4 linked regions of the Rattus norvegicus genome follow. The protein of the gene in region 1 purifies or fractionates together with the protein of each later gene. This does not show direct contact. Links are inferred from orthologs where the notes say so. Each region holds a gene or a part of one and is shown on either strand. Other genes may lie near its edges.

The links. Proteins that work in one complex are often made in the same cells at the same time.
Region 2: the proteins of Ripk1 (region 1) and Rnf216 purify together in Homo sapiens (affinity purification with western blotting; 3 studies listed by BioGRID). This does not show direct contact. The link is inferred for Rattus norvegicus from reciprocal best matches to the Homo sapiens genes RIPK1 and RNF216.
Region 3: the proteins of Ripk1 (region 1) and Cyld purify together in Homo sapiens (affinity purification with western blotting; 5 studies listed by BioGRID). This does not show direct contact. The link is inferred for Rattus norvegicus from reciprocal best matches to the Homo sapiens genes RIPK1 and CYLD.
Region 4: the proteins of Ripk1 (region 1) and Tab1 purify together in Homo sapiens (affinity purification with mass spectrometry; 3 studies listed by BioGRID and IntAct, with this or other methods). This does not show direct contact. The link is inferred for Rattus norvegicus from reciprocal best matches to the Homo sapiens genes RIPK1 and TAB1.

The regions. Positions count from the first base shown.
Region 1 is NC_086035.1:31,065,559-31,071,508, forward strand, and holds part of Ripk1 (receptor-interacting serine/threonine-protein kinase 1), read right to left. Parts: coding exon 5,936-5,950; intron 5,222-5,935; coding exon 5,065-5,221; intron 2,377-5,064; coding exon 2,239-2,376; intron 1,106-2,238; exon of another isoform or gene 994-1,105; intron 464-993; coding exon 235-463; intron 1-234. UniProt on the Homo sapiens protein: Serine-threonine kinase which is a key regulator of TNF-mediated apoptosis, necroptosis and inflammatory pathways.
Region 2 is NC_086030.1:16,591,231-16,597,180, reverse strand, and holds part of Rnf216 (E3 ubiquitin-protein ligase RNF216), read right to left. Parts: coding exon 5,907-5,950; intron 4,376-5,906; coding exon 4,211-4,375; intron 1-4,210.
Region 3 is NC_086037.1:34,504,311-34,510,260, forward strand, and holds part of Cyld (ubiquitin carboxyl-terminal hydrolase CYLD), read right to left. Parts: coding exon of another isoform or gene 5,379-5,950; intron 4,626-5,378; coding exon 4,484-4,625; intron 3,282-4,483; coding exon 3,159-3,281; intron 1,190-3,158; coding exon 1,098-1,189; intron 1-1,097. UniProt on the Homo sapiens protein: Deubiquitinase that specifically cleaves 'Lys-63'- and linear 'Met-1'-linked polyubiquitin chains and is involved in NF-kappa-B activation and TNF-alpha-induced necroptosis.
Region 4 is NC_086025.1:113,572,015-113,577,964, forward strand, and holds part of Tab1 (TGF-beta-activated kinase 1 and MAP3K7-binding protein 1), read left to right. Parts: intron 1-1,577; coding exon 1,578-1,714; intron 1,715-2,013; coding exon 2,014-2,167; intron 2,168-2,981; coding exon 2,982-3,068; intron 3,069-3,530; coding exon 3,531-3,669; intron 3,670-4,649; exon of another isoform or gene 4,650-4,779; intron 4,780-5,903; coding exon 5,904-5,950. UniProt on the Homo sapiens protein: Key adapter protein that plays an essential role in JNK and NF-kappa-B activation and proinflammatory cytokines production in response to stimulation with TLRs and cytokines.

The DNA.
Region 1 (5,950 bases):
AGAGAGAGAGAGAGAGAGTAGGAGATATATCTGCATGCTGCAGTGCATGTACAGAGAAGTCAGAGATCAATTTTCAGAAGTCAGTTCCCTCCTTCTCCACATAAGTCCTGGAATTTGGACTGAACTCAGGTTGTCAGGGTCAGTGGTAAAGGCCTTTACTCACTGAGCCTTCTTACCAACCCTCATCTAACGGTTTTCATTACTATCAAAGTCCCATGACTATACATGTCTTACTCTCATAGGGCTCCTTATTAGCAAATATTGCCCAAAGCACAATGGCGAAGCTGTACACATCTGACTTCTCTGTGGGCTTTGTGTTGATGTCAGTCAGGTGTTCCGGTGCCATGTAGTAGAGGGTGCCTCCGTTCTTCTTGGTGACGCTGCTGGCCTCCCTCTGCTTGTTGTGTTCCTCCTTAGTCAGTTTGCTCCATGTCTTAAAGGAAGCCACACCAAGATCGGCTATCTGGAAGAGAAGAGGGGCCAACGGAACTCATCACGAAGGCTTATGAGTAAATCAAACTGGATTTTCATGAATTCAAGTCTGGGGCTTATCCAGTACATGTGTGGCACAATCAATTTTTCAGTTGCTGCATGGGCCTATCTAGAATAGTTACCTCTCAATAGACTCTCAGAATGTTCATGTAAAATGCTAGCATATCAATTATTTTTTAAAGTTTCTTTTAAACATTTATTTATTTATTTATTTTTATTTATTTTGAGGGGGCGCATATTTCAAGATGTGTGTGTGAGTCAGAAGACAACTTGCAGAAGTCCTTTCGCTCCATACTGGGATTGAACTTGGGTCTTCAAGCCCAGCAGCAAAGTATCTTTACTAGCTGAGCTATCTTGCTGGGGCCTTGGCATCTCAATTCTTAACCAATAACACTGGGGCAAGACAACAAAACTGTGTTTGTGCTAATTTCTCATTTACTTTGCATATTTTTTTTTTTTGTTTTGGTCTTTTCTGGGGAAGACAGAGACTGGTTACCACACCTTTCATTTGCCCAATAACATCCAGAGGACCGTGGTTGTTTCTCTGAGCATCCCAAAGCCACCCTGAGGGTGGGACTGTTGCTGCTACTTGTTTTGTGTTGGCAGTTTGCACCTAAGAGAAGACAGGATGGAGAGAAGGAAATCGAAACACACATAAAGGCAGAGAAAAAGATAACCAAGTCAGACGCAGCAAAGAATAAAGTGGCAAGGGGAAATGGCAGAGGAGGACAGTTACGGGACAATCCAAGGAGGTGGTCCTCTTCTGCCTCTAAGAAGCATTTAGGGAGGAGCTAGATAGAGCATGTGCCTACATGAAATGCACAGATTTTAACCCAGAACACAAAGGATAAGTTCTTAATTGAAAGAAAAAAAGACGTTGGGATTAACAGCCGTCTGAGACATGAATGGCGTCTGATGCGGATCTTGTAGGCAGGTCCTGGTTCTTCCCCAGTGCTAAATGTTTTCAGGATCTTTTTGTTTCTTGTTGGTGTAGGTGTGGGGATGAAACCCAGAACTCTGGCCCTGAGCTATCTGGTCCCCCTTCAGGTCTCCAGCTTGGATTCTAGCTACCAAGACTAATTATGTGTGCTGTTGCTTCCTCAGTTACATGTAGCTCCTGAATAGGCTGCATTTTCCTTATTACCTCTGCTATGATAAAAAGAATTTTCAAAAGTAAATTGACTCCTTAAATGAAAATAGACATAAACAGGATGTCAAAGCAGAAGTCTTTGTCTTGGAGAGCCAGGACTGAGTCTAGGACCAAAGATGTGCGAGACTAGTTTTCTCCACTGAACTATGCCCCTTGGTCCACAAAGTGGAGGATTCTGAGGCCAAAATGGTTGACTTACTACTGCTTTTAAGCCTTTTCTGAATTTTAAGAATAGTCTCCACACACTTCTATACTCCCTTTCTCTCCAGGGTGGAGAAGTCTCAGTCACAAGATTTCCTGGGAAAGATGATGAGCAGATAGCCCATTCCAGAGGGAAGGTAGCAACCCTTCAGTGTTTCCATTTCCAAATCTAATCAGAGGGAAACAAAACCCAGGAACCAGGGATGAGATCTTTTTCATCGTATCCTTCAATCCAGTCAAGCCCACACCTTGTACTATGCTAGCCTTGCAAGCAGCACCGTGCTCCGTGCTGAGCTAGGTCCTCTTTTATCATGATCAACTATAGCAATGGGTTTCTAGTGGAAAATCAGACTACAATCACTCAGCCTTCTCAACGTGTACAGACTGTGGATTACCTTAATGTGAAAGTCACGGTCAACGAGGATATTTTCAGGCTTCAGGTCCTTGTGTATTACACCTTCGTCATGTAAGTAGTGCATGCCTTCTATGATCTCCACGATTATCCTTCCTTTCACAGAAAGTGGGACACTTTCCTAATGAAATGACACATTAGGTCTATGAAGTAATGGAGAGGTAATCTAACAGGCAAGAACAACTTCTCCATCCATGCCGATGGGATGAGGGCCCAAGGTTAGTGTTAGCAGGTTCCTCCCACCATGTGGTCCATAGCACTGCTGTCCCTGGGAAACAAGCTCCTTCAAGAAAGACCCTACCCCAGGGCCTACAGGATAGCCAAATACTACTGCTATATTTTGTTTAGTGAAAAAATAGAAATAAATTCTGTGCCAATCTACATGCATATAAAAATACCATAAGAAGAAGCCATGAATTTGAGAGAAAGCAATTGAGAGGGGTACATGGGAGGTGTTGGAGGGAGGAAAGGGAAGGAGAAAATGATGAAATATATTTAAAAAAATAAGTAAATACTTTATAATAGAATAACCTGGGACTACTTGGTATTCTATGACATAATTTAGTACATTATGTAATAAAAACTCATGTTTAAAAAACCATGAAGCCAAATCCCTTTAAACAATGACATTTATTATTTTTGTTACTATTACTTCTAATTCTCCTGCTATTCCAAAGATTGCCTCCGTATAGCTAAAGTAATGTTTAGAATATCTGAATAAACAGCAAACCTACAAACATTTCCACGGCATACTGTTGTGAAATGACACTGGCATTTACATAGGAATAACAACATCAGGGAAATGGGAATGTGAAATGGCACAGAGAGAAATGGAATTCGGGGAAGCATGTTAACAGTGCCAACTACCACATAAGCATCTGGGCCATATGCATGATACCATGTAGTATTTATGTGGTGACCTGGCAGATCTTTGTAGAATCTTAGGTCACTCTTAAAATTATACTCTAATTATATCAACCTCAATATATTATTTAAGAAATGCATGTTTCTGTTTTAGTAGTATCATTTCAGTTTTTCTCAATACTAAGACCAGCTTACAGAATGAATGACTCTTAAAAACTTTTAAGTGTCTGTTAATGGTTTACAGGTGAAAAGGTCAAGGGGGTGGAGCTTAGATTCCCAAGTCATACCAAACCACAGCCTTCACACCATATTTATCCACGCTGAAACTGAACCACAGCATCAGCGCTTGACTTCCACAGTATAAAAGAGAGCAGAAGGCTGGATCTGGTGGTACACACCTGTCGTCCCAGATACTAAGGAGGCTGAGGCAAAAGGATCTAAACGTTTGAGAGCAGCATTCTCATTGCCCTTGCTTGCAAAAATTAATTGATTAATTAAAAACAGCAGCAGAGACTGTTCCTGTCTTCATCTATATATGTTCAGGAAAGCCTTATTAGGAGGTATGATTGTTCCCTACCTAACCTCTTCCTGGTTCTCTTGGGTCCTTGACTCTTCTTGTCCCTATCTTGTGAAGCTTATTATTGGCTGACCCACCGAAGCCTTTCCTCACAGATGACTCATCTCTGGATCTAAATGCCTACTTCTGTCACATGGCTAATCTTACCTTACAATGATACACATGCTTACAATGCCATGTGTATCATCTTTTATCCTTCCCACCATGTTTGCGTTTCTGAGATCTGCTGATTTGACATTTGTAAGGTGTGGGGAGATGGAGGGAGGGGAAATATTTGGTACAAAGGCAGCTAAATGTTTCTGTCCCTTACATGCAATCTGTGCTCTGGCGAAAGTTGGTGACTGGCAGTTCTACAAACTGTCATCCCCTAATTCCTTCCCACATGTCATCTCTGTGCCTGGAACGTTTGCTCCTTAGTTATGTGCTTCAACTTGTCCTTCGGGAATCCTGTCCCACTTAGCTCAGATTGGACGGGGCACCTCGCCCGTGTTCTGCAGCAGGCAACTGTGTGCCTATCAGACACCATAACATCAGATGCTCCATTGCTTCTTCTGCGTCTTGTGCTTGCCGGTGTTGTATCAGCTATGGGCTCCTGAAGAACTAGCACAAGACTCAGATCCTAATCCATACAGGAACTTTAAACAATTACCTAGTTTTCGTAATTCCTCTTCTCCCTGATTTTAAATTTTATATTGCTGAGTTTTATATTCTAGATTTAATCTAGAGCAACTTCTTAAATGGTCTAAGATTACAATTGCGAATACCCCTCTTTCTCTTATAGTCAGTGACAGTGCACGTGCTTTTGTAAATTACTACCTGTCATCTGCAACATAGACATTTTCATCAATGAACTCAAATTTGTTATCATTTACACGCATCTCTGTCAGACCGGGTATTACTGAAAGAAGGTCCGTCTGCCAACTGTGGATTGGAGAAAGACTAGGTGGGTCAGCAAAGAGGGAACCTCAAGTGGTAATACAGACATAAATGGGGCCTGAGTGGGGGAGACGATCCCCAAGGCTGGAAGAGGCACAGAAATCCAAATGAAGCCAACTGCGGTGGCAAACACCTTTAATCCTAGCATTGAGGAGGCAGAGGTAGGCGGAATTCTGTGAGTTCAAGGCCAGCCTGTGGTCTATATATCGAGTTGCAGAAATCAACAATAACAAAAACTCCAACAAACAAACAAACAAATGAACGAACAAAAGTAAGGAAAGAAAGCAAGCCAGAAAGCAAGCGAGCGAGCAAGCAAGCAAGCAAAGATATCCAAACCACAAACCCAAATTTCCAACCGGAAAGCTACAAACGAAACCCCAAGAGCAGCTAGCACTTGACACTTTAGCACTGACTGCCTTAGGTGCCACCTACCTTGGTCTTCAGCACGTGCATCAGGTTGCCCTGCTCCATGTACTCCATCACCAGCGAGTAATTCCCCTCCTCTATGATGATGCCCAGTAGCTTCACCACTCGATCGTGTCTCAGTCTGTGCATCATCTTCCCCTCTTCCAAGAGAGCCTCATTGTACCTGTGGGCAGGAGAGCAGCTAGGCTGAGCAGGGCTGAGCAGGGCAGGGCAAACCCTTCTACCCAGGTGCCTAAGAAGCTCCAGTGTCCCTGCAGTGCGAGCCATATTGCAAACATTTGTCACAATCAGGTCTGTTCCGGTCTCCTCCAGGCAGACAGGTCCTAGGGGGGCAGGGAGGCTTCTCTTCATCTAAACCCCTCCCTCCTGCCTTGTCTTAGGAACTGGAAGCCGGGCACTCATGGCAGCAAATCAATTAATGAAAAATTCAGCGCTGGTCTGGCCTGATGGAGACTGAACTGGGAAACACAATAAGACAGGCATCCCTCTCAAACCAGCCTGAGGAGGAGAGAAGCCCTCCACCTTTACAGCCTCTCACAGGGTGGCTGGGATTTCCCATGATGGGACTGGCCTCTTTTTGTACCAGGCTTCAGTGTCTGTATCCACGGCTCTGACTTCTTCTCATGGCCTCCCTTACTATCCAGCTTCCTGTCTTCAGGGATGCCTTTCCCACACATTCCCATCAAGCACTAATATCTTTTTAATTAACTCCAAAGTCCTCATCCAACATAATAATAAGAGTTATGGGCACCCTTCATCAAGCCAGTGTGCCAAGTCTCCCCGCAGGTCAGCCTCATTTAAAACTTTATGTGTTTAGCCACAGAGTTGGAGACAACTACCTTCTGCAGTCAGAAACCCATTTCTGCTCCCGACTCACTCAGCGCGGTTGGGT
Region 2 (5,950 bases), on another chromosome or scaffold:
CCCAAACCTGGCTTCATCATGTCTTAGATCTTTCCTAATAGCACCTACCAAGGTCTCGTTCCTCTGTCAGCTTTCAGCCCCACCCCTCTTTACCTCTTTGAGGTCAAAGAGCCATGAGATGCTATTTCACCTCCTACCCCCCAGGGGCATAAACAAAACTGAAAAGCCAGGCTTTCAACTCAAATTCTATTCGGCCCAAATACTAATAAGAGGGCAAGCATCCCTCAGCGTGAGTCCTCATCTCCCTGATTCTGACCTCCTTTGCAATAGGCATGTGCTAACTCTTTCTCATTCCTTTGCAGGCCCCCTTTCCCCCACAAAATGTGAGCCTAGTCTACTCAACATACCCTCTAGGTAACGCAGGTTTGCCTTCTGCAAACTGTTAGCTCTCAAAATTCCAGCCACTTCTCTAACTTTTTCTGTCCATTCAAATATGTAACATTTAGCTGTCTTATAAACGCTACTCATCAGAGTGGCATCTTATTCCTCCCTTGCAAACCTGGGTTGTTTTTTTTTTTTTTTCCAGTTTTCCTCCCTCTAGCCATGCTACATTCTTCTATGCCTGCTGTGAGGCCCTCTAGAAACAGACTGTATTTTCTTCTTTCAGAGGACATCTCAGTCATGAGAGCATAACTATTTGCTTGCTTCTCTGCTTCACGTTATTTCTTCTACCAAACTGTGAGCCTCTGGAAGAAATGTTGCATAGGTTTCTAGTGGAAGGGCTAGCCCAAGTCAAACCTCAAAAAGGCTAGATTTGCCGACAGTACAGTCTAGAATTGATGCTCCCTTCTTTGACAATGCCGCCTCATACAAATCTGGAGACCCCAAAGCCTGCTAAGGGTGACGCCCATCATGCTTCCTTTCTGCTCTCCTTTGGGTGTGGAATTTCCCCTTTCTTCTTTCTGGAATCTCCAAACCGAATGAACCAATCTTAAAGTCATGACTTAGTGCTCAGGTGTTAGAAAGATGCCTTAGCAGTTAAGAACAATGGCTCTTCTTAGAGGACCAGGATGTGATGTACAGCACCCAGATGCAGGCTTACAACTGACACCTTCTTCTGACCTCCCCAGGCACCAGGCAAGGATGTGGTGCACAGACACATATGTAGGTAAAATACTCATATACTTTTTTTTTTTATTATTAATGATTCAGCCATTAAAGCAGAGGTGCTATTCAGAAGGTGAGCTCAGAGATCCTGAATAGTGGTTCACTGGCTTGGTATTGAAGAGAGGGAGAAGCTCCAGCCTGGAGCCCTAAGCAGATTGTTCTCCATAGCAGTGAGAAAGTCTCACTTAAAATGAACATTCAGTACTTGTCGGGAAACCATTACCTTTTAAAATGTTGTGCTGTTAGTTAAAGGAGTCTCCAAATTCTCACTTGAACAGTTGTATTAGAAACCAGCACTTCTATTACACTTGGCCAAATGCCTAGTTTACAGACCAGATGTAATCAGATTGCCTTGTGACCAGTGTGCACCAGGGCACATAGGTTTCTTTCCTGCCTCTTGGGCTGTGGTGAAAGTATCTTTCTATCAAGGCTCTGCTCTAAGTGACCTTTCTTCTTTCCAGGTCTCTTACTTGCCTTGAGAGCACTTACCACACTGTGTACCCAAACAGACTAAAAGCTCTTTGGAAGAAAGCTAATCTGTGTCCTATTTTCTTTTCTTCCTTCCTTCCTTGTTCAATAGTGCTGTGGATGAACATAGGACTTGTGCAAGGCAGGCCACCAGTTTCCCACTGAGTTCCACTTTTACACTATCTTCCTGCTCCACTGAGGCTCAGATCTTAAGGAGCAGCCTGGTTGGTGCACGCGTAAATAAGGATTAAAAAGACTTGCTAGGAACAACAGGAGCTCAAAAATAATATTCTTTTAGCTGTCTAATCCTTTCCCTGAATTTACTTACATGTATAAATTAAACATCTGCTTGTGACAGTTCTAAAGCAGTCAGTCTGGTAAGGTTTTTAAGACATCTAAAACAAGGGCCAAAGTTGCCCTAAGAGATACCTAGAAGACCTAAAAGGGGAAAAAAAGAAGAAAAAGAAAAACAAGAGAGAGATACGAAGAAGGGGTGTACACCTATATTTTCAGCACTTGGGGGCCAAGGGCTGCTAAGGCAGGAGGATGATGAGATTCAATCTAATGGAGGTTACACAGCAGGACTCTGCCAAGAGAGGGGGGTTGGGGGGGAGAGAATAAGAATGAATGAGTATGAGGAATGGGACACTAGGCATGACGATGCCTTGAAGACCCAGGGACAGAAAGAAAGCTTGTAGAGAGGAGAGGTAAAGGTGGGGACATGCCCCATTCAAGATGACCACTAAAGCCACATGGTGGAAGTCTATGAAGCCTGGGGAAGTGGACACCTAGAGAGAGACTGACTATAGAATAGATTAAAAGATGGCCTGCTCCACTAGAGGGTTTAAATGTTCATTTGATATTCCTGGTGCACGAGCTAGGGCAGGCAATGAAGAAACTGAACAAGATAGTCACATTACAGCAGAATAACCAAAAAAAAAAAAAAGAGAGAGAGAGAGAGAGAGAGAGAAAGAAAATCAAAATTTCAAGCTGGTTGAAGTTCCTAGGCCTGAGCATGCAAACCAAGACAGGTGTCATGCCAATCTTGGATGAATCTAGAAACAATGACGACAAGAACAACAAAGCCTCTGCACAGACAGAGAAGAGTATTTCCTAGAGGAATTTCTGGGAGGAATTAACTGAGACTCCCTGTAGTGGGTAGTGCCTTCCAGAACTGGCCCAAGGGAAAAGCTACTGGCTTTTGCCCTCTTGCCTCTGAACTTCCTGAAGAATGCATCTAGCTTGCTGCCATTCTGAATTTAACTACAAAATCCCCTACACCACTCAAGAAAGAAAGCACCGGAAAAGAGTACATTGTTTACCTGAACAACAAATGTATTCCATTCCCAAAGTAAATCCTGAAAACAGAGATTCTCCAAAAAGTACACGTATAAAAGAGGGTGTGCGAGCCAGGTTTAATTCCAGCACTTCAGAGGTGGTGGCAGGAGAATCTGTTTGAGGCCAGCCTGGCCTACAAGCTAATTTCAGGCAAGCCAGAGCTACACAGTGAGACCGCCCTCTCCAAAAGCAAGCAGGGTGAGGTGGTGTACTCCTTTACTGCCAGCACTGGGGAGGTAAGCAGAGGAAATCAAGACCAGTCAGTCTAAACACTCTCCAGGCTACACAGCAAGACTGTCAGAGAGAGAGATGTGCATGTGTGTAAGGGCTCTTACCACAATGAGAGAACTGAAAACAGGTTTCAAGATGATTGATTAAATATAAGCCTGTGCTCAAACCATGATGGCAAATTCGACAAAGCAGATCAAAGAATTTAGCTGCCTCAGAGAGCAGACACAGCCCCAACCTGCCATGTTAAAACTGCATGCAGGCATTTAAGCCATAGTTGATTTTTTTAGAAGCTTATTTTTATTTTATGTTATGTGTATGGGGGCTCTGCCTACATGCATGTTTGTGCACCATGCACATGCAGTACCCAAAGAGGCCAGAGGAGGGTGCCAGATCCTCTGGGACTGGAATTACAGACATAAAGTTATGCTAGGGCAAGAATGAACTGAGACTGCATGAGCAGCGCCAGTCAGGTCACAGGTTTACCCTGTTATCTAGTTCATCTACAAGAGAGCCTGTCTACACTGCGAGAAACTGAAGCTCAGTGTACAGTGGACATCTGTGCAAATCTCAGGGGGAAGTAAAATGACCCTTATGTTTATCACATGTAAGATCTATAATTTTAGATAAAATGCTGAGGACACGGGAACCAGCTAGTAACACCTAGAGGTACAGATGACACAAACCCGGACTCTTGAAACCTATAGGATCAAGACAAAAGAAAGCAGGAGACACTGAGAACCTAGAGACAAAAGACTTACCAACCAACCAGAAGCCCTTAACTTGGAGCTTGGTACAACTGAACAAACTATGAACCAGGCAGATACGGGTCACACTCCAGGCACCCTGCTCTTCTCAGAACAAATATCATCGCAAAGGGACTTTTGGAGATTGAGGTTTCCTGCTCTAGGTGGCACTTCTCACTCAGTGATTCCTAACCAGCTCCTACTTCCCCTGGCAAACTCTGAAGCTTTCTGCCACCACAGCCACCTCAACCTCTGTAATCTATAGCTCTCCCGTCTCTTCAGGACAATCAAAGAACGAGCCCAAAAGGAAGCCCACGGCCTACCTTTCGGGTGATTGCGTAATGCCCTTTGAGCTCGTGCAGGGCCCACTTGATGTCCTGGCTGCTGAGCATCTTGAAATCAGCCATCAAGAGGTCAGCAGCTTGGATGAAGCAGCGCTGGTCAAGTGGAGTCAATTTGGAATAGTCAAAAAAGTCTATCTTAGGCAACTGAAATGAGACAAAAAGCATAAAGTTAGAGGTGAGATAGCACACTCATCCAAGAGGAGGACGAGGGGGATGACAGAGGCTGGCTCTAAGGCCTCAACAGTGAAGAACATTTGCTGTTTTTCCAGAGAAGCCGGGTTTGGTTCCTACAACACACCTTCGGCAACTCACAGCTACCTAAAACCACAGTTTCAGAGACTACAAGGCTGTCTTCTGGTCCCCACGGACCAGCATGCACACCATGGTGCACACAAACTCATTCCCTACCCAACAAAGAATAACAAATAAGATGGGCACTGACGGCACACATCTTTAATCCCAGCACTCAGGAGACAAAGGCAAGTAGGTCTATCTGAGTTGGGCCAGCCTGGTCTCCAGACCTTGTTCTAAGACAGCCAGGGCTACACGGAGAAACTCCGTTAGAAAAAGCAAAGCAACCAATCAACCAACCAAATCTTTAAAACAGTACATATTACAAAAAAGACTCTTGCCTGGGCTCATAATTACTTTGTAGGGTGACCAGACTAAAACAAAAATGAAGAAAAAGTACATTATCTGTTAATTCTGCACTAGAAGGCTGAGGCAATGAGGCAGGGGTGGGTGTTGGCGACAGTTGTTTTGGTCAGTGCAAAGCCAGCAGAAATTAAACATTAAGAATCATGGGGAGGGGGGGGTGTGGTTGGGGATTTAGCTCACTGGTAGAGCGCTTGCCTAACAAGCACAAGGACCTGGGTTCAGTCCTCAGCTCTAAAGAAAAAAAAAAAAAAAAAAAAAAAGAATCATCTGGGGTGGGGTTTTTTAACCACATAACACACTCAACATTAGTGGTAGATCACAATTATTGACTAAATATTAAAGTTTTGAAACTTTTGACATCTTGATATGAGATTTGGCTAAATGGGTTGAACACAAATCTTTTAAGAATGGCTATCTATGGGCTGGAGGGAAGGCTCAGAGGTTGAGAGCAGTTCCCAGCAACCACATGGTGGCTTCACAACCATCAAAAGTGAGATCTAGCGTCCTCTTCTGGCATGTAGGCACATGTGCAGGCAAAACACCTGTACATAATAAATCTTAAAAAAAGAATGGCTACGTGCATGCTGAAGTATTTGCAGGGAAGTGGTTGTTTTTGCAATTTAGGATGGAAACATTCTAAGGAACAGCAGTAACAGACAGCAGTACAATAGAGTAGTACACCAACAATTCACGTGAAGCATTCAACTTTTATATAAATCCACAATTATAAAGCATTAAGAAAAACAAACTATTAGAACAACACAAATAATACTGGCTAATTCTTTTCCCTTAACTTGCTCTGCAGAATTAAAGGCACAAGAATTTGCTTAATTCTTTATGGGAATGGAAAGATTTCAAAAAGGAGCCTTCAGGGAGTCTGCAAACATTATGAAATGTTATTTTTCCTGCTTGCCTGTAAAGCCCTGTGTTAACAGCACCTCTTGCTGTCAGCAGGATGACCCGGAAAGCAGCAACAGAGCAGAACAGATCCAAGTGGCAAAGCCACAGGAATACTTGCCTTCACATCATCCTGGCTGGCAAGCAGGCTACTGCTGGGGTGGA
Region 3 (5,950 bases), on another chromosome or scaffold:
AATTTAAAAGCCATTCTATTCTTTATGACAGACTTATTTCTTTTTTTTTTTTCTCTATTAACTTGAGTATTTCTTATTTACATTTCGATTGTTATTCCCTTTCCCGGTTTCCAGGCCAACATGCCCCCAACCCCTCCCCCTCCTCTTCTATAGGGATGTTCCCCTCCCCATCCTCCCCCCATTACCGCCCTCCCCACAACAATCACGTTCACTGGGGGTTCAGTCTTGGCAGGACCAAGGGCTTCCCCCTCCACTGGTGCTCTTACTAGGCTATTCATTGCTACCTATGAGGTTGGAGCCCAGGGTCAGTCCATGTATAGTCTGACAGACATATTTCTACACTGAACTTAATTTCATTTCTTCAATATTATTTTAATTAAATGGTTAGTCTTTTCCAACTTTCCTAACAAGGTAAAACTTTTACTTACAGGTTATAATAAAATGTTACTTTTTCATTTTGTTGTCATATTGTCCCATTTAGCAAAATATATTCACACACAGGAAATTTAATTTTTGTTTTTTAAGGTGTTTCAGTAGAATAATACCTAAAATAAACCCAATTTTTCCTTCTATTTAAGTAATTATCATGTGTATAATCATCACAGCTGTCTACAAACACTGTTAAAAAACTCAAAGTCAGAAGTTGAATCTGAAAACTTTTTCAGTTGTGAGTAAACAGACACGCTGTCCAGCTATTCCACAGCTCCGTTCAACAAGGAACGTGGGTGGGAAACTGGGAGTGGCCCAGGACATCGCTCACCACAAGGGGACATCTACTGTAGGGCCAGCCAGCGTCTTAGAAAGCTCTTTACTACACATCACAGTCACTTTGGAAGAGAAAAATCATTTACAATACCAGGAGAAACTTGCATGTCACACAGAAAATAATTTTTTCATTTATTTATGCAGTGCTGGAAATCAAACCCAGGGCCTTTTGCATACGTTACCACAGAGATACATATATCCCCAGCCCTCTCAAATAATTCTAATTTAAGATTGATCCTAAAGTAAAACAGACATATTTCAGGAAATAATTTAAATACTTGCTTAGTAACATACTTTCAAGTTATTTTCAACACATAACTTAGAAAAGTCACCTTTTTCCTCAGAGGTAAATCCTGATGCAGCCTCAACTTTTTCAAGTATTTTCCTCAGCTTCATAATCTTTGTGGCACACACATATCCATATCTATGTTGATAAAAATGAATTAACTGACACTGGCACAATGAATTATATGACATATCTTAATAATCAAATACTTTCATACAATTCTAACATGTGAAACAGATCAATAGACTAGGCAGTTATTTTTACAAGCATAATTGAAGGCTTCTTACTAAACTTTGAAAAGTGAAAGACTGAGAACCAGAACTGTTTCCAGATACTATTAAACACCTTAAAAATAACTACCATGCAGTAATACAACTCTAAAATATTTTTAAAGTCTTGGTGAATGGTTTTTAGTAACATTTGCTTATTATTAAAATACTTGTTTTATAAAAGAGAATGACTTACATTTTAGAAAAGTCACTTGAATATGTAGGACAGAGACATGGAAAAAGGAAACTGATGAGATACCAAAAATCTAAGTCTGCAATAAACCAGTCAACATAATTAAGAAGAAATTCTCCTTGTTTGGCTACAGGAGACTATGGGCTTAATGGAGCAAGTCAGCACTGGCTGATCACTAACTGTACCTGCTTTTTAGAGGACTATTCGTTCACTTGTTAACTCTTTCCAATCAGCATACACTACATACCTACGACTCATGAAAATAGGTGTTTGCCACTGGGAATATAAAAGGAGATTAAACAAACAAACAAAAACCACCACCAACAAAAAATCTGCTTCTGGGAAGCTTGTAATAAAGCAATGTATCCAAACAGCAGACGTAAATTTGCAGACATTGGAAATAGATCTCAGATTTCTCAGCTCAACTGATCTTGCCTCAGCCTCTGACCTAGCAAGTGCTGGGATTACAGGTGGATAGTCTACCACCATGTCTGTCTGGATAGTCTACCACTATGTCTGTCTGGATAGTCTACCACCATGTCTGTCTGGATAGTCTACCACCATGTCTGTCTGGATAGTCTACCACCATGTCTGGATAGTCTACCACCATGTCTGGATAGTCTACCACCATGTCTGGGTAGTCTACCACCATGTCTGTCTGGGTAGTCTACCACCATGTCTGTCTGGATAGTCTACCACCATGTCTGGGTAGTCTACCACCATGTCTGGGTAGTCTACCACTATGTCTGGCAAAACGCATCCTGATCTCACAGGCCAGCTGACAATCTCTACTGCAGAAAATCCATTACAGAAAGGATTACAGTGTTTTAAAAAGAAGGAAGACTGTGATAATTCACTTTGTCATTGCTTTGACCTGTACTGGTAATTCCATTTAAATAGTGAAAGAAAAATCTGAGTAGTTAAAATTTGCAGAAGACAAAATAGTTAATGTGAAAATCAAAGCACATATTTATTTTAAAGGGTAAGATGATTACAGAATTTGAGGAAAACAAGTATCCAAATAGAGAAATTTATTCTTTTACTTTCTTAGTTATGTGACACAGTAGGCCATTTGGAATATTCCTTTATTTCTATATTTTGTTATTTTTTAAATATATTAATTTTTATTTTCATTGTTAAGAAAAGTATATCACAAAACTTAAACTAATCATAATTGGCCTTTAAATTGCATAGTTTGTTCTGTCTTCTTGACCCATTTGTTTCATGATCACTGAATGACTGAACTCTTCTTCACTTAAGCATCTTGTGATGTTATCACACATCAATCACCAATGTCAAATATCAAACATGTCTCCTGCACATTCGTAAAGGAGCAGAGGAAGACCTAAATATATTCTTTTAGACAAACACCATATTACTATGATACACCTCATCTGCTCTCAGTGCAGTGTTATCACTAACTTGTAATACATGACACCAAACAATTCACATCGTTTCATAGAATACACCTATTACATACAAGGAGATAAACAGACGCAGAAGACTAAAGGTTTTTAAAAGTCAATAGGTCATAAAAATTAATCTGTTCATCTTTTTTTTTTTTACTATATGAGCACATAGCAAAAAATACTATACAGAAAACAGCAAACAGAACACCAACTAAAGACAAAACGTCTTTCCTTACATTCTCAGAGGATTGACTATCTCTGTCCTCAGTAGCTCTTGAGTCTCACTGTAATACTCTACATCATTCTTCTCTTTGGGTCTAAGTAATACAGTGTCCAGGGCAGAACTAAAAGCAAATAAGCTGCAAAATAAAAGAATATTTTCCTTATGCTATAAATACATTGATATTTGAGAAAGATTCTTAAAGGAGTCGGAAGAGAAAGAGAAAGGAGTATAGGGGAGCAGGGGTGTAAGAATTCATGGCTCAGACAGCAGAGGCCTGTGTTCAGTCATGAGCACTCACAGATCCTGAAGTTCCAGACCATCAATCTGTGTGTGTGTGTGTGTGTGTGTGTGTGTGTGTGTATGTGTGTGTATGTGTGTGTGCATGTGTGTGTGTATGTGTGTGTGCATGTGTGTGCATGTGTGTGTATGTGTGTATGTGTATGTGTGTATGTGTGTGTGCATGTGTGTGTGTATGTGTGTGTGTGTATATGTGTGTGTGTGTGTGTGTGTGTGTGAGTGAGAGAGAGAGAGAGAGAGAGAGAGAGAGAGACATCTAGCTCTCCTGAGACATGTGCTTCTGTAAAATAACCTGTGAGTGACCAGCAGCAGAAATTTACTGGTATGAAAGAATATAATATAACATTTGGCTTAAACAGATTTTTTTATCAGAAATCTAAAGAATATTATAGCAATAGTATAAGATTTGTTTAATCAAAAGTATTCCACCAACAAGACGGCCCATAGCCTTTATTCTGCTGTCTACCTCTGAGGTTCTACCATCCACACTAACCGCCTTGTTCTTGTGACACAGCTTACAGAGCAGAGCTGGCAGAGCCACCAGTTTAACTGGCAGTACACAATTCTTAAGGCCATGGATTCAGGGTTCAACCTTCAGAGCCTAATGTTCCTTGTATTATTCACTCCACTTTAGGGAAAACAACACAAAGGAGGACAACAGTGATCCCGTGGGAAATAACTTCTAACATAACGACTTTCTATGATCACCGGGCTGTCCTAAAGCATGCATACACGGTACCAAGGGTGGACTGCAGCTACTCAGCTCGTTCATGTGCAGTCTACTGCACTGGAGGGAGATGTCCTTGGTGCATCCTTCACAGGGACCAGCGCTCTTACTCACTACTTACTGAAGTATTTTTATATTAGTTTTTTAAATCTTGAAATAAGATATGAAATTCTTTAGCTGCCAAGGAGCAAATCTTGTGATCTTTCCTAACTCCCAGTTTCTCTACTCAAAGGCACCTCCTTTCACACACACACACACTGTATCCCTCCCCCAGGAAGCACCATCTATGCCTACTGCAGAGAACATGAACTTACCAGAATAAAGTTGAGTCTAAGTAACAAGAATTGTAATGGCCCTGGATGCCTTTCTTCTTTCCAATCATTATCTCTAAACCTTCCTTTTCCATTTTAGGTGGCGTATTTTCTTCTACTACTTCACTTAAGTAGCCCCCAAATGCTGAAAAAATAAATGAAAATAATTATTTTAAACCATGATTGTGTGTGTGTGTGTATGTAATGCACTGCATATGTATGTACCATCATTTCAAACATATTGTGACATCCTATGCAAAGTCTTTCAGCCTTTAGTTAAGTTAGTTATCTGGGCATATAAAATGCTATCCCTTTCAACACTGCTTCCTTCATATAGAACATAGAATGTAAGTGAATTAAGCACCTGCCAAATAAATGCTTTGTTACTTGCCCAAAATGTTTCATTTTCAAGTATGAAAACAAAAATTTCCATATTGCTCTTCAACATTTAGAAAAAATGTTTTTCATAAAGATGGTTTCCCTATTTACTCCTGCTTGACTCTGTTGTCCAGAACTGGGAAAGGCCAGCATCGGCTGATGACAAGTGATGAAGAGTCATCCTCCATCAAGCTGTGTCCCCAGACTTTATCAGATCTTCATAGGCTACCCTGAATGAGGTGCTTAATAAGATGGTGAGCGGGGAGTTAATACTAAGGACCACATTTTCATTTCTACTACCCATATGGCCAGAAATTAAATGTCTATAATCTCTACAAGAGAACAAAAACAAAACACTACTTTTCCTTCTTTAGATCCTAAACACTTTTCCTGACTAACTTTTTTTTTTCACAAATAGGACTTTTTATTTGTCACTATTAAAAATCTGGAGTTTAAACTGATTCCTGGACTGGTGGTTCATAGCCATCAGCTCGTTCAACTTTAGCACTTGTCTCCTCACCAGTTGTTTTGTGAGAACCACCGCCTTCACCATGGAGCTCCATGGGTTTTCCCAATTCAAACTTGGGTTTCTTCAGCATTTTGACTTTCCTAACAAAGACGTCATGGAGAGGATGGATGGACTGGCAAACCTTCTCTATGTCTTTCCCAATGCTGCCTAAAATCAGTTTATTAACTACTTCCTTCAAGTCATTTGTCTGCACTTCTCGGGTCATGATTTCCATCATCTTCTTCTGGATCTGGTAGACCTGCGAATAGGATATCTTTCTAATCTGGTTGTTGTACTTTTTAGTGAAACCAACACAGAACAGTCGGAGCAAATACCCATCGGTCGTCTTGACATCAACAAGAGCTTCAATCATGGTGGTCTGCCACTTTTTGACCACGGAACACATTCTGTCCCGGGTAAGATCCATGCCATGGAAGTTCTTGCCCTGAACGTCCTCAGTATTTAGCTTGACTTTTCTAAATGAATCTTCGTCATTCTGTAGATCGGCAAGTCTCCCTTCAAACACACGGCCCTCGAGGCCATCAGGTGCAGTTTTGGCTCCTTGAGTCCTCGTGACTAGTGTT
Region 4 (5,950 bases), on another chromosome or scaffold:
GTTATGCTCCCCCACCTATTTTTTTTTTTCAGGACGGTGTCTCTGTGTAGCCCTGGCTGTCTGGAACTCAGCTCCACCTGCCTCTCCCTCCCAAGGGCTGGGATTAAAGGCGAGTGCCGCCACTGCCACCGCCACCCGGCTGTTTTACATCTTTTTTTTTTTTTTTTTTTTTTTTTTAAAGATCATTACTGTTAACTTGTAAGAAGTTGCAGCTGGTGGTCATAATTGTTTAATATTTCAATAAAACTTTCCAACTTCTCCTTCTTTTCAGAGTACTTTTACTTTATCCATGTGTTTTTGCCTGCACGTATGTATGTGTACCACATACAGCTCTGACACCCGTCTTGAACAGGCGCTTGCAGGACATTTGAGATGGCCTCCCAGTGGGTGTTTTGTCTTTGATACTATGTTCTCACAGGCTAGGCTTGCATATGCAAGGTGCTTTGGGGAACCTCCAGGACACTGGCTGGGTCCTCAGGTTCATCCTTCCCAAGATACGGGATAGAAAACATGTAATTGAAGCCCCACACAAGACCAGCTTCCCTGTCTGCCAGAAGATCTACATCTCAAAGAAGTGGGGTCTTACCATGTTTAATGCCTATGAGCATGACGTGCTGAGAAGGAGCCTGCCCCAGCGGCTATGGGATCAGATAGTCCTGAGTCGTGCAGCCAGGAGGACATCCATTGCACTGTATCTTATCACTGCATCATGCTTACATAAGGCTTACGTTCCAAGAGAAAATGTTGATGCCTAGGGGCCGCCTCCAGGAACCTTACAAAATTAAGAAGAATTGGGGTATTTAAGCCAAGACTTGGACGTGTGTGAGTGTGCATGTCCGCATGCATAGGTGTGTGTAAATCTCAGCAGTGATTAAGCAAAACATACTGGTTTGAGATCCAAATCTGATGGGAAAGGGTGAGTGCGGTAAGAGAGATGGAATCAGGGTGCGGTATGAATACACAAGGCAGTGACCCCGAGTTGACAGTCCCAGAAAGCTTGCCCAACAAAAAAAGGGGGGTGCACAGGACTTCAAGCTGCAGCTTGAAGGAGACAGGACACAGTGAAGGCCTCCAACTGGGGAGTATGACAGACTGACTCGCAGGCTGGAGTTTCTGAAGGCCAGGGCGAAGCTACCTTCCTGAGAACGTGTGCGGGAAGCTGTTTATAGCACAGACAGCGCAAGCTGCACACGGGTCAGGCATTGTGTGGTGGGGCATGCAGTCCACAGTTGGAAGCAGCACCCAAAGATTCCTTTATGCTGTCCAATGAGGACCTCTGTGGAGAAGTTTCCTGTAAGTTGGGCTTATTCGTGTGTTACAGTAGCGTCGCTTGCTCTCTTTTCTAAGTAGCCAAGTCCCCACTTGGGAATGCCGTAGTTTTCAGGTTCCCCAGGGAGCCAGTTTGTGGATGCATCATAAAAACAGGAAAGACTTTTGTCAGTGTCCCTTCAGACACACATTATTTCCCAGACGTAACCATCTTGTGGCCTGCAGGCCTGCCTTTGCCCCTGTTGTAGAAGCAGGCGCAGTGGGATCTGAGGGAAGAAGGTGGTTTTCAGTTTCCTGATGCTTCCCAGGAGCAGCAGCCAAGCTGGACAGATGACCTGCCACTCTGTCACTTCTCCGGCGTTGGTTCAGCTTCCAACCGTAGCTACTCTGCTGATGGCAAGGGCACTGAGAGTCACCCTCCGGAGGACAACTGGCTCAAGTTCAGGTAGGTGGGTGGGCTGAGCAGAGGAAGTCAGTTCATGAGCAAGAAGATACTGTCCTGCTACCTGCATGTATGAGGCTTGCCTGTGCAGTAGGGCCCATGGGAAGTGTCGACTGCTGTGGGACAGGGGTGGACGAGGCTGGCAGGGAAGATTCCTGGTGAGATGATGGACCCAGTGCAGGGTCCCAGATGTGTGCCTGAAACCTTTCCTGTCTTTAGTCCCTCCCCAATTCCTTTCCTTCTTCCTCTACCACCTGCATGCCCCTGGTTTCAGCCCTCCCCCTCCACCCTCCCTCTGCTAGAAGTGAAAACAACTGCTTCCTGTATGGGGTCTTCAATGGCTATGATGGCAACCGCGTGACCAACTTTGTGGCGCAGAGACTCTCTGCAGAGCTCCTGCTGGGCCAGCTCAACACCGAACACACAGATGCTGATGTGCGACGGGTCCTGCTGCAGGTAAGAGGATTGGGCTAGGTGACAACAGCCTGACTGACTCGTGTGTCCTCCACTCCCTGGAACTTGGGCCCTGCATCTGTAAGTGTAGACAGGCTGATCTGAAGACTGCCTGCTTCTTCATCCCCTACCAAGATCATTTCTGGGTACACTTCATGGTGGCAGGGGCTCCTGGCCACAAGGAGTCCAGGACAGGCAGGGAGCAGCAGCTTTTCCATTGGTAGCAGGACTGACTTGGGAGAAGGCAGCACTGGGAACAGAGGCTCTGTGTAGAGATAGATACCTTTGTTTGAGATTTCTTTATTTCTTCTACCTAGGAAGGTTTCTTGGTCTTTGAGAAATTGGCCCTAGATTTTTTCTGTTCTCTGTGGTCTCAGTGCTTCTAGACTGGAGCTCTGCAGAGGCTAGACCAGGAGGAAGCTTTCTGCTTCACCAGTGTCCAGCCAGTCCTGATCAAGGCCCGAGGTTGTCATGCCCCTACAGACTCAGTGACCAAGCACTCCTGGACTGTCTCACTTCACATGAACCCAAATGTGGAGCACTGCTGTTCACACCCAACACTCTTGAGCGCAGGGCCTGGCCCTTTCTCTCTCATTCCTTGCAGGCTGCATAAGTAGCAACCTTTTCCCGTCCCACAGGTAAAGGTCTTTGTCAAACAGTGGACAGAAAGGCACACATATGAGGCAGAAATGATATGTCACCTGTCACACGAGGCCATCCATGAATGCCATGGATCTGTTACTCTCCATAGGGACATCTTAACAGGAGGTGATGGCGTTATTTGAGCCAACCCTTGCCTTGCCCTGTGTCTCTTCAGGCCTTCGATGTGGTGGAGAGGAGCTTCCTGGAGTCTATCGATGATGCCTTGGCTGAGAAAGCAAGCCTCCAGTCCCAGCTGCCGGAGGTAACCGACTGTCTGTACTAGTACTGCTGGGTGCCAGCACTCACCTCTGTATCACTTGCCACCCACAGGCACAGTAAGGCCTGCAGCAGGAATCATGAGGCAGCATCCTGATGGGCAGGCTGGGGTGGCACTGGGTATGTCCCTGTAGAGACTCCAGCCCAGCAGTGGGCAGCTTTTCTCGGAGGCTCATCCTTAGATGGCAGGATAGGTGGAAGGAAAGGCCTGTCCAGGTTCTGTGATCTGGTTCAGTCCAGAGCCAGGGTCACCTTCAGGCTGCCCCTAGTTAAAGCAACAGTGACCTTCCCAGGGCAGCCTACAGGTATCCAGCCTGGCCACACCTATGGTCATCTGTCTGTCTTGGCTGCTCAAGGGCCTTGTATACTTTATCTAAAGGGAAAGAGAGGATGGTAAGGTGGTACTCAAGCCCCCATGATGCTCTGATCTCTTGATGATGGTTTGCAGGGTGTGCCCCAACACCAGCTGCTACCTCAGTATCAGAAGATCCTGGAGAGACTCAAGGCACTGGAGAAGGAGATCTCGGGAGGGGCCATGGCTGTTGTGGCGGTCCTTCTCAACAACAAGCTCTACGTTGCCAATGTTGGTGAGCTACCAACCTGCCCCATACCAGTCTGCTTTCTGTCTGTGCGTACCCCAAGCTTCCCAGGGTGACTTGGGCCTGTTCCTCATTCTGTTGTCTATGTCAATCCAGGTAGAAGGACAGCAGTAGGCAGGTGGGTGTCCTGGCTCGTGATGAGTTAGTTGTGTCTGTCCTTTTGTCTTTAAATTATTTTAGGTGTATAGGTGTTTTACCTACACGTATTGTCTCTACCACATGTGTGCCTGGTGCTTGCAGAGGCATCTGACTCCCTGGTACTGGAGTTCAGACTGTTGTGGGCCACCACATGGGTCCTGGGAATAGAACTGTGTCCTCTGGAGGAGCAGCCAGTGCTCTTAACTGCTGGGCCATCTGGGGGAGGGGGTGTGTGTCTCTGCATACAGTAGGGCTGGCATGTGAGGCAAGAAGAAAATCCAACTCAACATGATTTAGTAGCTGCTGTTGATTCAGACATTTAGAGCAGCAGTTCTCAACCCCTTTGGGGGTCAAATGACCTTTTCACAGGGGTCACCTAAGACCATCGGAAAACATGGATGTTTTTTTGTTTTGTTTTGTTTTTTTCTTTTCTTTTTTTCGGAGCTGGGGACTAAACCCAGGGCCTTGCGCTTGCTAGACAAGCGCTCTATCACTGAGCTAAATCCTCAACCCCAACATGGATGTTTATATTATGACTCATAACAGTCGCAAAATCACAGTTATGAGGTAGCAACAAAAATACTTTTATGGTTGGGGGTCACCACAGAGGAACTGTGTTAAAGAGTAGGAGCATTAGGAAGGTTGAGACCCAGTGGGCTAGAGTCTGACAGACAGTAGGCAGTTTATTTTAGTCAGAGTACAATTTGGAATAAGTTCCAGGTATCACATAGTTTTATGGGTGCCATAAGACATAATTACATCAAGACTCTTACTTCTTTTCCTTTCCTTTCCTTTTTTTTTTTCCTTTTTTTCTTATGTTTTTCTTCTTAGAATGTTACTTGCTTAACTCAGAATGTAGTACCAATGAAATGGTGACAGCTTTGCCAATAACAAGAACATGCTCTTCCATGGCTAGGAAGGGAAACTGCCACAGGCGGCAGGTCCCAAAGATACATGGATTCCTTTCCCTTTTTTTTTTTTTTTTTTTTGGTTCTTTTTTTTTTTTTTCCGGAGCTGGGGACCGAACCCAGGGCCTTGCGCTTCCTAGGCAAGCGCTCTACCACTGAGCTAAATCCCCAACCCCCTCCTTTCCTTTTTTGAGACAGGGTTTCTCTCCATAGCTCTGCCTGTCTAGGAACTCACTCTTTCGATCAGGCTGGCCATGAAGTTGCAGAGATCCCTCCCACTGCCTCCTGAGTGCTGGGTTTAAAGGCCTGCACCATACACAGTGAAACCCTTCAAAGTACACGTCACTTCTATAAATAGATAAGTACATGTGTTAAGATCTTCAGGCCTTACAGGAGGATCTGGTGTGATCTTGGTCATACAGATAGCACAGAGGTCACCTAGGCTGTTAACACCTCTGTTCCCAGGCCTGTGGGTGAAAAGCAGCTTATGTAACTCTCCCTTTGAAGAGACAGCCCTGCGTGTTCAACATCCCATGTTTGCCTAGTTTATCTGTGGGCCCAGTATCTGCAGCCCCATGGCTGCTTCTTTAGAAGGCCAATTTGCTTGCAGTGAAGACCTGCTCTGAATTCTTAAAAACAGCAGGAAGCTGGATGATGGGGACATTTGTATTTAAGACCAAAGGAGGGGCCATCAGGGGACCCAAGAACGTGTGTGATACATGTCACTGTAAGGACTCAGTAGCTGTCACTCATGGTGTCCCTGACTCCCTTCCTCCTCTTAAAATTTTCTTAGGGATCAACTTGCAAACCATAAAACAGCTGATAAGTAGTTAGTGCATCTCCATGCCCCACTCTAGCCCCAACACTTCCTGTCCTGTGCAGTCTGGCTTCATCCAGAGCCCCGTATTCATAAGTTGTTTTGAAGCCACCACAGACATTGTGCCAAGATAATCTGAAGGTTTGGTATGGACCCCTGAGGAAAAGTCTTTTATTGAACTCAGTCCTGTGATCACACTGTAGCTCAAAACCTGCTTCCCTGCTGAGGTGGCTGTCCTTGCCTGGTGATTTACCCCTGTCCTCTGAGCCCCTTAGTGTGTGCGACATCTGCTTGTCTTTCTGTTGTGTCAGTGGCTCCTGTTCTTCCCTCTGCTTAATCTTGGTCAAATCACGCTGCAGGTACGAACAGGGCCCTTCTGTGCAGATCCACCGTGGACGGGCTACAG